3 linked regions of the Cricetulus griseus genome follow. The main gene of each other region encodes a partner of the protein of the gene in region 3 in a complex. Links are inferred from orthologs where the notes say so. Each region holds a gene or a part of one and is shown on either strand. Other genes may lie near its edges.

Evidence for each region.
Region 1: the proteins of Notch1 (region 3) and Poglut1 are in contact, whole or in part, in a crystal structure (PDB 5UB5), measured with the Homo sapiens proteins. The link is inferred for Cricetulus griseus from reciprocal best matches to the Homo sapiens genes NOTCH1 and POGLUT1. Residues at the interface, in NP_060087.3 of Homo sapiens: Asn454, Glu455, Cys456, Val457, Asn459, Pro460, Cys461, Gln462, Asn463, Asp464, Ala465, Cys467, Gly472, Glu473, Phe474, Val485, His486; in NP_689518.1 of Homo sapiens: Met103, Phe104, Pro105, Ser106, Arg107, Asp133, Gly170, Pro171, Ala172, Val173, Trp174, Pro178, Thr179, Gly180, Thr214, Asn239, Gln240, Ala241, Val274.
Region 2: the proteins of Notch1 (region 3) and Dll4 are in contact, whole or in part, in a crystal structure (PDB 4XLW), measured with the Rattus norvegicus proteins. The link is inferred for Cricetulus griseus from reciprocal best matches to the Homo sapiens genes NOTCH1 and DLL4. Residues at the interface, in NP_001099191.1 of Rattus norvegicus: Glu415, Leu418, Ala420, Asn421, Pro422, Glu424, His425, Phe436, Pro447, Arg448, Glu450, Ile451, Asp452, Leu468, Asp469, Gln470, Ile471, Ile477; in XP_006234827.1 of Rattus norvegicus: His65, Thr76, Phe77, Asn109, Phe110, Thr111, Pro113, Tyr180, Ser186, Arg187, Leu188, Lys190, Arg192, His195, Phe196, Tyr199, Lys216, Tyr217, Asp219.

Annotation. Positions count from the first base shown.
Region 1 is NC_048597.1:51,600,895-51,604,537, forward strand, and holds part of Poglut1 (protein O-glucosyltransferase 1), read left to right. Parts: intron 1-1,956; coding exon 1,957-2,078; intron 2,079-3,643. UniProt on the Homo sapiens protein: Dual specificity glycosyltransferase that catalyzes the transfer of glucose and xylose from UDP-glucose and UDP-xylose, respectively, to a serine residue found in the consensus sequence of C-X-S-X-P-C.
Region 2 is NC_048599.1:59,141,248-59,144,890, reverse strand, and holds part of Dll4 (delta-like protein 4), read left to right. Parts: coding exon 1-232; intron 233-1,422; coding exon 1,423-1,531; intron 1,532-3,643. UniProt on the Homo sapiens protein: Involved in the Notch signaling pathway as Notch ligand. Activates NOTCH1 and NOTCH4. Involved in angiogenesis; negatively regulates endothelial cell proliferation and migration and angiogenic sprouting. Essential for retinal progenitor proliferation.
Region 3 is NC_048599.1:137,892,542-137,896,768, forward strand, and holds the start of Notch1 (neurogenic locus notch homolog protein 1), read right to left. Parts: upstream 2,925-4,227; 5' UTR 2,673-2,924; coding exon 2,612-2,672; intron 1,031-2,611; coding exon 952-1,030; intron 1-951. UniProt on the Homo sapiens protein: Functions as a receptor for membrane-bound ligands Jagged-1 (JAG1), Jagged-2 (JAG2) and Delta-1 (DLL1) to regulate cell-fate determination.

The sequences.
Region 1 (3,643 bases), on a different chromosome or scaffold from region 3:
ATTGGCCTGGAGATTATTGATTAGGCTATCTGGCAGAGAAGTAAGCCCCAGGGGTCTACTGTGTGCCACTAGCCCAGCTTTTTGTGGCTTTGGGGACTGGAACTCAAGACAAACACTTTATCTTCTAAGCCATCTCTCAGCTGCCCCATTTTTTTCTTTATCACAGAGTACTTTCTCTCTAGACCTATTTCCTGTGTTGTAAGTGGTTTTTGCTGATTTCTCAAAAGTGTCTGGTCCCAATATGACTGTCACTACTGCCTTTGTTTTCATCGTCACTTCCCTCCTATTTTCACAGTCACTGACTGAAGTGTCCAGAGGGGGAATTGTAGTCAGTCAGCTTTGGTTAACTGTGAGGTTTCTATTGAATAGCCGCTTTGTTGGAGATGCTTGATGAGTCACATGGTATTTTCTAAGTGTTTGAGAGGAGTCAGACAGCACCGTACACATGGAGTTGCAATGAAGAAACTTAGATTGGAGGCTTTGTAAGTGGCCATGTAACAGAGGTGACCATGAGGAGGGAACAGGTGGTTTAAAACTTTTACCAAAAAATTTGTGAGCCAGAGTCAGCACTAAGGAGGAGGAAATGGAAGGACCACTGCATTTGAGGCCAACCTGATCTATGGAGTAAGTTCTAGGCCAGCCAGAGTTATACATCAAGGTCCTTTCTCAAAACAACAGTAGCAGCAGCACCAACAGACAACCCTCCCACCAAGATGTGTGTGATTAGACTGCCTGCATTCTCCTGTTTTGCCCTGGTCCTCCTGATCAATGAACAGCCAGGGATTTATGGAACAGCCACCATGAGCTCAATGGGGACACCCACAATGTTAAGTGACACTAGATCATGCTTATTAAATAGCCATCAGACACTGTACATTTAAACTGTTGTGAGTGATTTTGTGTTGAAAATAAACCCGCAGGTAGAGTTAGGGATATCATTCCCCCCACTACCAGGAGATTGAGGCATACATTGGAGCACTCACGGTATTGAAGAGGAAGAGTCAGAATTCAGACTACTGTGATCAGCGCTATTTCCTGATTCTTACTCTCAAAATACCCCTGGGAAATAACTCAGAACTGGAAAAGCCGGGAAACACCAGGATGTAACAGCAGTTGAGCTTTGACTGAACTGATAATTCATAAGTAGGAGTATTATCTCTCCTCCCTAAAAAAAAAACCCTCCAGAATTTTCAGGAACTGAAACACTTGACCTTTAATATGATTATAAATTCTGGGATTCAAAGGGTCTACTTTTTTTTTTTTTTTTTTTTTTTTTTTTGCCACGGGGTTTCAAAAAAAAAAAAAACAACTCTGTAGCCATGGGTGTCTCTTAGAACTCACCAAGTGCTGGGATTAAAGGTGTGCACCATCCCAACCCAGCAGATCTGTTACTTTTTTTTTTTTTTTTTTTTTTTTTTAGTTCAAATTAGAAAAAGCTTGCTTCACATGTCAATCCCTTCTTCCTCTTCCTCCCCTCCCCCAACTCCCCACTGTTACTTTTTTTTGTTGTTATTTTTTTTCTAGACATAGTTTCTCTGTGTAACTTTGGCGTCTGTCCTGGAACTTGCTTTGTAGACCAGGCTGGCCTTGAACTCACAGAGATCTGCCTGCCTTTCTTTGCCTCCTGAGTGCTGGGATTAAAGGTATGCACCACCCCAATCAAGTGGATGTGTTACTTTTTACCCCTGGTAATTCTTGCCTAAATGTCTGCAGTCTAGGCATAAGAGGTGATTTTTGTGTGTGTTGCTGGGTATTGTACTCTGAGCTTCATCTGTGATAGTAAGTGCTCTGTCATGGAGCTGTATTCCCAGACCTGGGACCTAGACCTTGCAGACCAATACAGTATTTCTCTAGCACCATGAAGGCTTTTGTCCCAGTTCTATATAATGAATGCAGCCAGTTGCTTCTCATTCTCTTTCAAGACTTACTCAGATTGCTTTTCTGTTTCTGTTAAAGACGTCAGAGTACCATGATATCATGTATCCTGCGTGGACATTTTGGGAAGGGGGCCCTGCCGTGTGGCCACTTTATCCTACGGGTCTTGGACGGTGGGACCTCTTCAGAGAAGATCTGCTAAGGTAGGTTCTTTGGAGCGGTTTCGTTTTTCCCTGTCTGTGAGTTTTGTTTTGTTTTGTTTTGTTTTGTTTTGTTTTGTTTTGAAGTAAGCTGCAGTAGATAGTTAAGAATGTAAGATCACTGCCTGAGCTGGGGAGATGGCTCAGTTGGTAAGAGTGCTAGCTGTGCAGTGAGGATGTGAGCCTGGATACGGAGCATCCATATAAAATTCAGGCACGGTTGTATATAGGGAGACAAGGAGATGTTCAAGTTGGACACCCTTTCCACATGACTTTAGGGCTTAGCCGGAATAGACATAGTTAGGATGTGCAATAGCAGATTATTGTATCTTCTTGTATTTCACCTTTATGATTGTTAATTTTGGATGTTTTACACTATTAAGTTTTAATCCTCTTTTAGACTAAAAGGGGAATTATAGGGAGACACTGTAGCCCCACCTCCTAGGAACCGCTACAGGTGTGCTTGGCTATGCCCGCGAGGGCATGGTCAGGGGAGGTTAAAGATGACTCGTGGGGAATTCTTAAGGAAAGGACAGACGTGGGAATGGTCTCTTTTCTGGGCTCCCTAGCCTGCTGCCTGAGGGTACTCTCTCCAGCTTGTGTTTATCTGAATAAAGACATCCATATACCAATAGTTGTATGCACCTGTAACCCCAGTGTTCTTGGGGTCAGAGACAGATGGATCCTGGGAGCTTACTGGCCAGCTAGCCTAGCAAAAATGGTGAGAGACCTGTCAGTGAAAGACCTGTCTCAAGGGACTAAAATAAAGACCAACATCTCATGTCTTCTTCTGGCTCCAATATATACTCACACTGGTGACTGCACATGCGTGCACACGCGTACACACATACTATTAAAGTCAGGAGAATGTTGCATAGCAAAAGCAGTTCTGTGTGTTTCTGTGTGTGAATAATAATCCGTGTTGGGCCTAAGGATAGAGCTCAGTTGGTAGAACAGTTGCCTAGCAGGTGTGAAGCCCAGGGTTTGACACCCAGCACTGCATAAACTGGTCCTGGTGGCTCATGCCTGTAATCTCAGCCCTGGGGAAGTGGAGGTAGAATCACAAGTTCAAGGCTAACCTCAACTATGTGGTGAGTTTGAGGACAGCCTGAAAATCCTAAGCCCCTGTCTCAAAATTTAAAAATCCCTGTCAAAAAGGTCAGAAGACTTCATCCTAAATTGTCAGCAGTGCCTCCAAGGGAAGGGCTCTAAGAGTCTTTAAGTTTTTTTAAGATCATTTTTTATTTCATTTGTTTGTGGTTTGCATATGTATCACATGCACACTAGGGGCTTCCTAGTTAGAAGAGGACATCAAATGCTCTGGAACTAAGAGCTGCCATGTGAGCACTGGGAACTAACCCAGGTTCTCTTTAAGAGCACCAAGTACTCTTGACCACTGAGCCATCTCTCCAGCACCATTTTCTCTAAAATGTTCATATTTTAAATATTCCCCAAGAGAGAATTAACTCCTTTTTTGAACACAGGATCTCACTCAGTATACCATCCTGGCCTGGAACTTGTTATGTAGTTCCCAGGCCAGCCTCAAACTCAAGCAATCCTCCTGTTTG
Region 2 (3,643 bases), about 79 Mb from region 3:
TGTCGGACTTCCAGAAGGACAACCTAATCCCTGCTGCCCAGCTCAAGAACACAAACCAGAAGAAGGAGTTAGAAGTGGACTGTGGCCTGGACAAGTCCAATTGTGGCAAACCGCAGAACCACACATTGGATTATAATCTGGCTCCAGGACCCCTCGGGCGGGGAGCCATGTCTGGGAAGTATCTTCACAGTGACAAGAGCTTAGGAGAGAAGGTGCCACTTCGGTTACACAGGTAAGCCATACTTGGAAGCCAGGGCGTGTCTATGGACCCTTACATAGTTTGACTGTGTCTCCCAGGCTGAGTGGGAGACTGTCATCAGGCCCTGACTGCTTTTAAACAGTAGGGATGTGGTACGAACAACAAGGCATCCCAGCTGCATTTCTGTAGGGAGTCAGGCACATACTTGTAGTCCTAATTACTTAGGCTGAGGCAGGATGATGGCAAGTTAGATGCCATCCTGGTTAACACCGCACAGCATGTCTCAAAAACAAAACGAAACAGCTCAGAAGGTAAATGTGCACACTACCAAGACTGAAGACCTGAGTTTGATCCCTAGGACCCATGTGTTAGAAGAGGAGAACAGATTTCTGAAAGCTGCCCTCTGACTTCCACAATGGTGCGGTGACAGGCACATATGCACACACATGTGTATACACACACACGTGTACACACACATGTGTACACACACACACACACAACGATTTAATTTTTTGTTTTGTTTTGTTTTTTTGTTTTTTGAAACAGGGTTTCTCTGTGACTTTGGAGGCTGTCCTGGACCTTGCTCTTGTAGACCAGGCTGGTGTCAAACTCACAGAGATCCACCTGCCTCTGCCTCCTGAGTGCTGGGATTAAAGGCATGCACTACCACTGCCCGGCCAATTTAATAATTTTTTAAGAATTCTTCTAGGGAATTTTTATTTTTAAAATGGGGTTTCTCTGTAGAAACCCCAGGGCTGTCCTGGAACTTACTCTGTAGACCAGGTTGGCCTTAAACTCAGAGATCCACTTGCCTCTGTCTCCCGAGTGCTGGGAATAAAGGTGTGTGCCACCACCGCCCAGATTCTTCTAGGGATCCATTACTAGAAGCCCTCTCGCTCATTCATTCATTCTTCACTCCCAAATACCAACTGTCTACAGGGTATCTCTTGTGACTTCCATCTTTCTACAGTATGGCTTCTCTCTAGTGGCAATATTCGCTTTTTCTAGTGGCCACATGACTTTTCTGGTTTGGTTGAGTCTGGTGGCTCTCTTAAGGGGCCTGTTCTGAAGGTCAGCATTGAGCATCCCCGGCCTACATCATTCTGAACCACTGCAGTACATACCCTTTAACTCTCTGGGATCTAGATTAGCACCTCATTGCATTTCCAGGCTCCCCTCCTCCCTCTTCCTCATTCTTACCTGCCTGTCTTGTGTTCCTTCAGTGAAAAGCCAGAGTGTCGAATATCAGCGATATGCTCCCCCAGGGACTCCATGTACCAGTCAGTGTGCTTGATATCAGAAGAGAGGAACGAATGTGTCATTGCCACAGAGGTGAGTTCTGGGCTGGCCTTCTCTGTCAGCATGTCCCCTCCTGCCTTGTGTGGATGGAAAAAAATGCCCTGCTTACCAGCAACCTCATGCCTGAAGGGGTGGGCTCTTAGGTCCCCTGCTGGCCTTATTGCCACAGAGGGTGTGAAACAAGAACTAGGTGGTATGCCTGACCTGGCAGCTGCACCAATGAAAGGGACAGAATTAAGGAGCCAGGGGAACCTCTGGTAGAGCTAGGAAGGACAGCCATGGTACTGGCTACCTTTCAGGAACTGTTTCCCACTTGCATTTGGGTGAAGACAGTTGATTGTGTCTACCTGTTCCTTGTCACTGGCTTCCTCCAATGTATTCCCACATTAGTGCAAACTCCCAGACACTTGTTGTCTTAGGGAAGAAGACTAAGGGGACTGCCCCTCCCTCAGTGACTTCTCCCAGAGAGGCCCAAAGCATTCCGGAGACAGTGCCTATCCCCAAGATGACCATTTCCCCATTTTGTTTGTGCTCCCCAGGTATAAGGCACGAGCCTACCCAGACACCCAGCTTCGGCCCAGCAGCTGGGTCTTCCTTCTGCATTGTTTACATTGCATCCTGGATGGGACGTCTTTAGTATGCACAGTGCTGCTCTGAGGAGGAGGAGGAGGAGGGAATGGCATGAACTGGACAGACTGTGAACCTGCCAAGAGTTGCACCACCTCTGCATGCCTTCAGGAGTCTGCCTGGCTTCAGATGGGCAGCCCTACCAACAAGGGAGAGAGCTGAGGAACCAGAGGACATCAGTTGAGCTGATACCTAAGGTGCCACTTGGACTTGCTCTGCCAACAGTGGCCATCATGGGGCTCTTGACTGTTCTTCAGAGAGAAGTGGTGGCCCTAGTAGGTCTTGGAGCTGCTGTAGCTCCCATGGGCATCTGTGTTTCCAAAGTGCCTTTGCCCAGGCTCCATCATGACAGCTGGGTCCAAATGAGGGAGGAGAGATGAGGCTTGCAAGGAATGGGCCTCCTGTAGGCAGGAAAGCTTTGGAGTTTGGCTTTTGTTAGGAGCTACCCTGTATGTGACGTGAGAGAAGTGGTTCCTGCCCCCATCCACAGCATGGGGGGCGCCAGCTAGCCTGGACCCTCTGGGCAAAAGTTGGTAGATCGCCTCTCACTGGTCCTGGGGCCTCTGGGCTTGTGTGAACAGATGGGCTTAGGGCCTGCCTCTTTTGCCAGCTAGGGTTTCAGGCCTAACTGGGGAGCTGAGGGCCATCATGTTAAAATTCCACTGAGGGAGATAGCGGGTGCTGCTGTGGCCTAGGCCCTTTCCTCCCTGTGCCCATTTCTGTGCCCTTGAGCCTGGGCTCTATCAGTGCCCACTGCTGCCCCAGACCACCCTTGAAGCCGATCTTCAGAAATCAATAATATGAGGTGTTTTTTTGTAGTTTATTTTGGAATCTAGTATTTTGATAATTTAAGAATCAGAAGCACTGACCTTTCTACATTTTATAACATTATTTTGTATATAATGTGTATTTATAATATGGAATAGATTGTACAGGAATTTATTACTTCTTGGGTCCTGTCTTTGTAATGGTGGAGTGGGAATCTTTTCCCTGCCTTCCCACCCCAAATAGTCGGAAGCCCCAGCTCTTGAATGCCCTCCTGGACCCCCTCGGGCCTTCGCACACTTGGGTTTGGCATTTTGTATGGAAGGCCTGTGTCTCAGTCCGATCTTTGGAGAGCCTAACCTCATCCATCTCATCCCCAGCCTAGGCCAACCTTCCAAGCCTAGTGACTTTGAGACTGGGTGCCATTATCCCACTTTATGCTCCCACCATTCCATGGGGCTATCTTTCCCCTGACTGGAATCTCTCTCTACTTTCCCCCAAGTCTGAGAAGAAGAATGGGGGCCTTGATCTTCTCCTACTGAGGAGGACTCTCTCTCATTACTTATTCAAAAGGACTCTTATTAGATCAGGAGCTAAGTCCTGTTCCATCTGGGCACTTCCTCCTACACTAGCACCTGCTGTTTTCCCAGTACTAGTGTGGAACTGACCTGAAATGGAGATGGGTAGGGGCTTTGCCCTGGGCTTTGTCTTTCTCGAAGCTGGACAGAGATGAGGGGATGAATGAGTGAGGCT
Region 3 (4,227 bases):
CTCCAGCACCTTGCTAGTCTCATCAGGGAGGAGCTCAAGTTGAAGGGCACTAGCCCTAGCCCTAGCCCTAGCTCCAGCCCCAGTGGAGACTTCTCCTGGCTGACTGGTCTTTGTGGGCAGCCAGGCAGGGATCCTTCCCAAAAGGATTTCCCAGCAAGGAACAGACCTTCCCACCCCCCCAAGTCACGCCCATTTCACAGCTGAGGACCTGAGGCTGAGGACCTCTGGCATAGAGTCGGGAGGTGGTGCTGCAGCTGCCAAGAGAGAAACCAGACTCCAGTGCTTACCCACACCCACCACCCAGGCAGCAGTGCCAACAAGCACCGTTCCAACTCTCCCAACCTCACCTTGAACCCAAGGAGAAAGGAGGGGTGGGTCTCATCTTAAAACAGACACTTCCCACCAGCTAGTGGTGGCATTCCCACTTGGAAGGCAGAGACAGGCAGATCTCTTGAGTCAAAGGTCTCTGCATAGTGAATGCCAGGGCTGCCAGAGTCACATAGTGAGACCCTGTCCCAAGAAAGCAAAAACTAGAAACAAACAAACAAAACAACAAAAAAGGGGCAACTTCCTGCTTATTGGTCTCCTGCCCAGAAGAGGGCTCCCAGGTGTCAGGGGGTGGGGCTCAAACTCTCAGTAAGTGCTCCAGACTGCCCATCAAAGACAACGGTTTCTCAAGCATTTTAAATAAGAATTAGGGTACCATGGATTCCCAGGAGCCTGAGGGGGCCCATGGAGGAGTGTGCCAACCTCCAGGGGCCAGAGTAGCTCCACACGAGGCATAATTGCTGGTGATTAAGTAATTGCCAGACTTTGTCCAATAAAAGTCAGCACGTGACTGCACTCAGCCTCTGGGCTGTCTTCTGAAGACAATGGCCCAGTGTTCTGTCCCCAGAAGGCAGGGGCTCTGCTCTGACAAAAGCAACAGGTCCCCTCGGGGGCGGTACTCACACACAGGCTTCGGTGCCGTTGGCCACTTCGCACCTCCCTCCATTCAGGCAGGTCCCACTTGGCTGGGAGCATCTCAAGCCTAGGGAAGGGTCAGAAGAGAGGTCAGTCTGGGTTCTGAGCAGCTGACTCCTTGTGGTCCTGATGGTGGATGAAGACTACTGCCTTGGTGCTTGTGTACTAGAGTTACTGGAAGTCGCCAGGCGGGGGTGGTGACAATGGGCAGCCCTTCGGGGATCAATGTTCTGCTCGCACTGTTGCAGTCAGAAATGGGTGGAAGAGGGATAATAAGCTGGGTAGGAGGCAGGTGTACATCCCCACTCACTAGAAGTGGACCGCAACAGAAAGAACTGAATGACTTGGGACATTCTAAACTTCTTACATACACAGCCAAAAGTGGGTGTGGATTAAGAAACCCAGCAAAGCCCCCGATCAGTCTCCCACCCTTGCCTCAGTTCAAACACAAGATACGAGGGGGCTGCAGGAGGGAGGGGGCGGCCACACTCAGCTCCCCCGATCGTGGGAAAAAGCGACAGCTGCGGAGCCCGCCACCCCGCCCTCCAACAAAGCGCCGGCCCGGGAATCAGAGCGGCCCATTGTCGCGCCAGGGCCGCCTCCTGGGGCAGCGGGGCCGCACCCGGAGACCTGCCCCGCCTCCTCCGACACCCAATACCTGTTCGCAGGCATCTCCAGGGGCAGCCCCCGCCGCACCCAGGGAGGGGGTCTTAGAGCCCGCACTTGGAAGGAATTCTACCCTCTTCTCAGGAAAGGGCTCTTAATCAAGCCCCTCCCACCCCCATCTTAAGGAGCTCCAGAAATTAAGCCCTGGTGTGAGGGCCGAGCTGGAGTGTCACATAAAACCCACTTTTAAGAGAAGGGCAGGCACTTCTCCCCTCCAATTACTGGGAGACGGGTGCAGTTGGTCACTACGAGACTCCTCAGGAGTCCCCCTTTCTGTGAATCCTGCAAGGAAATAGGCGGTCCCCCGGCCCCCCGGCCCCCCGGCCCCCCGGCCCTCCCCGCAGGTTCCAGTCTCTGCCTGAGCAGGAGTCTCAAACTTCCAAAGTGAGTGAGTCCCACCCCAACCCTAAGCAGCAAGCCGCCTGCCCATAGCCCCTCTTTGAAAGTTTGAGTACCGCTAGGGGACAGCGATCCCGAAACTGGGCACTGGGAGTCCAGGGCACATCGCCCCCACCTCGCGCTAAGCAAGGCGAACACAGAGCCCCAACATCCGCCCAAGCACAGACCAGAGGCGAAGAAGAAAGAAAATAATAGTCCCAAGAAGCAACAGGAAACCAAAACCGATTCGATTCAAATCGAAAAGTAGCAGGCGCAGGCAGCCTGTCCGCCCCCGCGGCGAGCCCCAGGCGCGGCTGCCCAAGTGCGAGCCAGGGTTGAGCCTCCCGGGGCCCCGAAGTCCCAAGCTCCACACCGAGCTTCCAACATTTTCGGGCGTTCTGGGTAAAGCGAATCCACCCGGAAGGGGGGCTGAGGAGAAGGATCTCCCTCACACGCGAGGACGCCAGGCCCCCAAGTCCCGTCCGCCGGCTCCTTCTCCCAACTTTGGTAGCTGGTGCCCTCACTCCCATCCACCCAGGGCGCGCGCAAGGCGCAGCCGAAGTTTCCGAAGGGCGCGCGAAGTTGCGGGCTCGCAGGCGCCTACCTCTTGCGGCGAGCGCGGGCAGCAGCGTTAGGCAGAGCAAGGGCGCCAGAAGCCGCGGCATGCCTGCTCGCCCGCTGCCCGCTGCCCGGGCGGCGGCCTCTTGCGGTGGCCGGCGGGGATCGGACGTTTACGCTCACCACCGGCGGTCCCGCGGGCGTCCACCTACTGCTGCCCTCTCCTTCCTGGCAGGTGGGCGGCGCTGGGCTCTCAGGGTCTCCCCAGCGCTACGAGGCACCCCGGGTCGTTCCTTCACTGCGCTCGCACCCGCGCCTAGCGCCCGCGCCCTGCGCCCCACGCCCCTGCGCTCCCTCCCGCGGCCGAGGCACTAGTGAGGCTCAGGGCGGCCGTGCGCTCCGCCCCCGTGGGGGCCCGCCCCTGCCCCGCCCATCCCACCGCGCTCCGCCCCCGGTTTTTGAGCACTCAAAGCCCCTTCGTTGGCCCTGTCCCTCCCAGCGCCCTGGTGGGCTCTGCGCCTTCTCGGGCTAGAGAGAGCGTCCCAAGCCAGGACCCTGTGGTTTGCAAGACAAGGAAACATGCAGGGGTGTAGAGAACAGGCACTTAGGGACTACTTCTTGTTCGAAAGTTTACAGAGACCAAAAGTTTGAGCTGGGGATGCGGAAGGATCAGGCTTTGTGTGTCGCCTCCCTCGGGACCTTTTGGCCAGGATTTGCATTTCAATAGCCGAAGAGATTTGGGCTGAGTAGGAAAGGCGAAGCTGCCACGAGAATCGGGTCCATCCTGGAGCTAGGTCTGGGCCCAGGGCTAGGAGCAGCTGAAGCCAAGTTTGGGGAACTCCCGGAGCAGGATTTTAGAAGTTGCTCCCTGACTACGTTGGGTGCATCCCTGGCCCTGGGGTCCCACTTTTGGGAGCCTTTGGTCTCGGCTTTAGGCATCTGGATGATTGAGGCCAGGCACCCCTAGCCGCGACTTCCGGAACGCTTGACCTTAAAGGATAATGTCTTCGCGCCTGCAGCCTCTACAGAACGGAGCTCGGGGCTCCCCAAGGGAACTCCCCAAAGGGCCAGTGCCTTTCTGAACAAATTGCGCTCTCGCTCCCCAGAAGGAGTCTAGACGCTCCATTGTCACTCTTTTCACTGGTTCCTGGCTCTGCCCATTTAAGGTGACCCGGGAAAGTACAGAATCCCAGTACAATAACTGCTAACACCAGCACAGCCTCTCTCACGTGCTTTTCTTTGACCAGTTATCTCTCCACCTTGGTGCTAGACTTGGACATCCTGTGACAAGCTGATTAGCTCTGGGTGTCCAAGATGCCTTCCTTGTCCCTGTGCAATCAAAGTTCAATGGAATCTGGAATGGACAGCACCTCTCCATCCCTAAACAGGATGGTGAGTGCAACACAGGATACAGCCCCAGCTTATATTATCCAAGGAGGCTCTCAGAGCAGGGGAATGCATAAAGGGGCCTTAAATGCTTGCTGGAACCTGGCAGGAGAATACTGAGACAGGAAAGTCAAAGGAATTTGGGAATTCAGAATTTGGAAGGCAGTCCTTGCCCAGGGATACAGAAGTGTGCTCATTTCTCCTGCAGCCCTACCCATTGCCCTTGACACACCTGTTTCTAGAGGGCACTCAAGAGGGCCAATGCAGACCCATTGT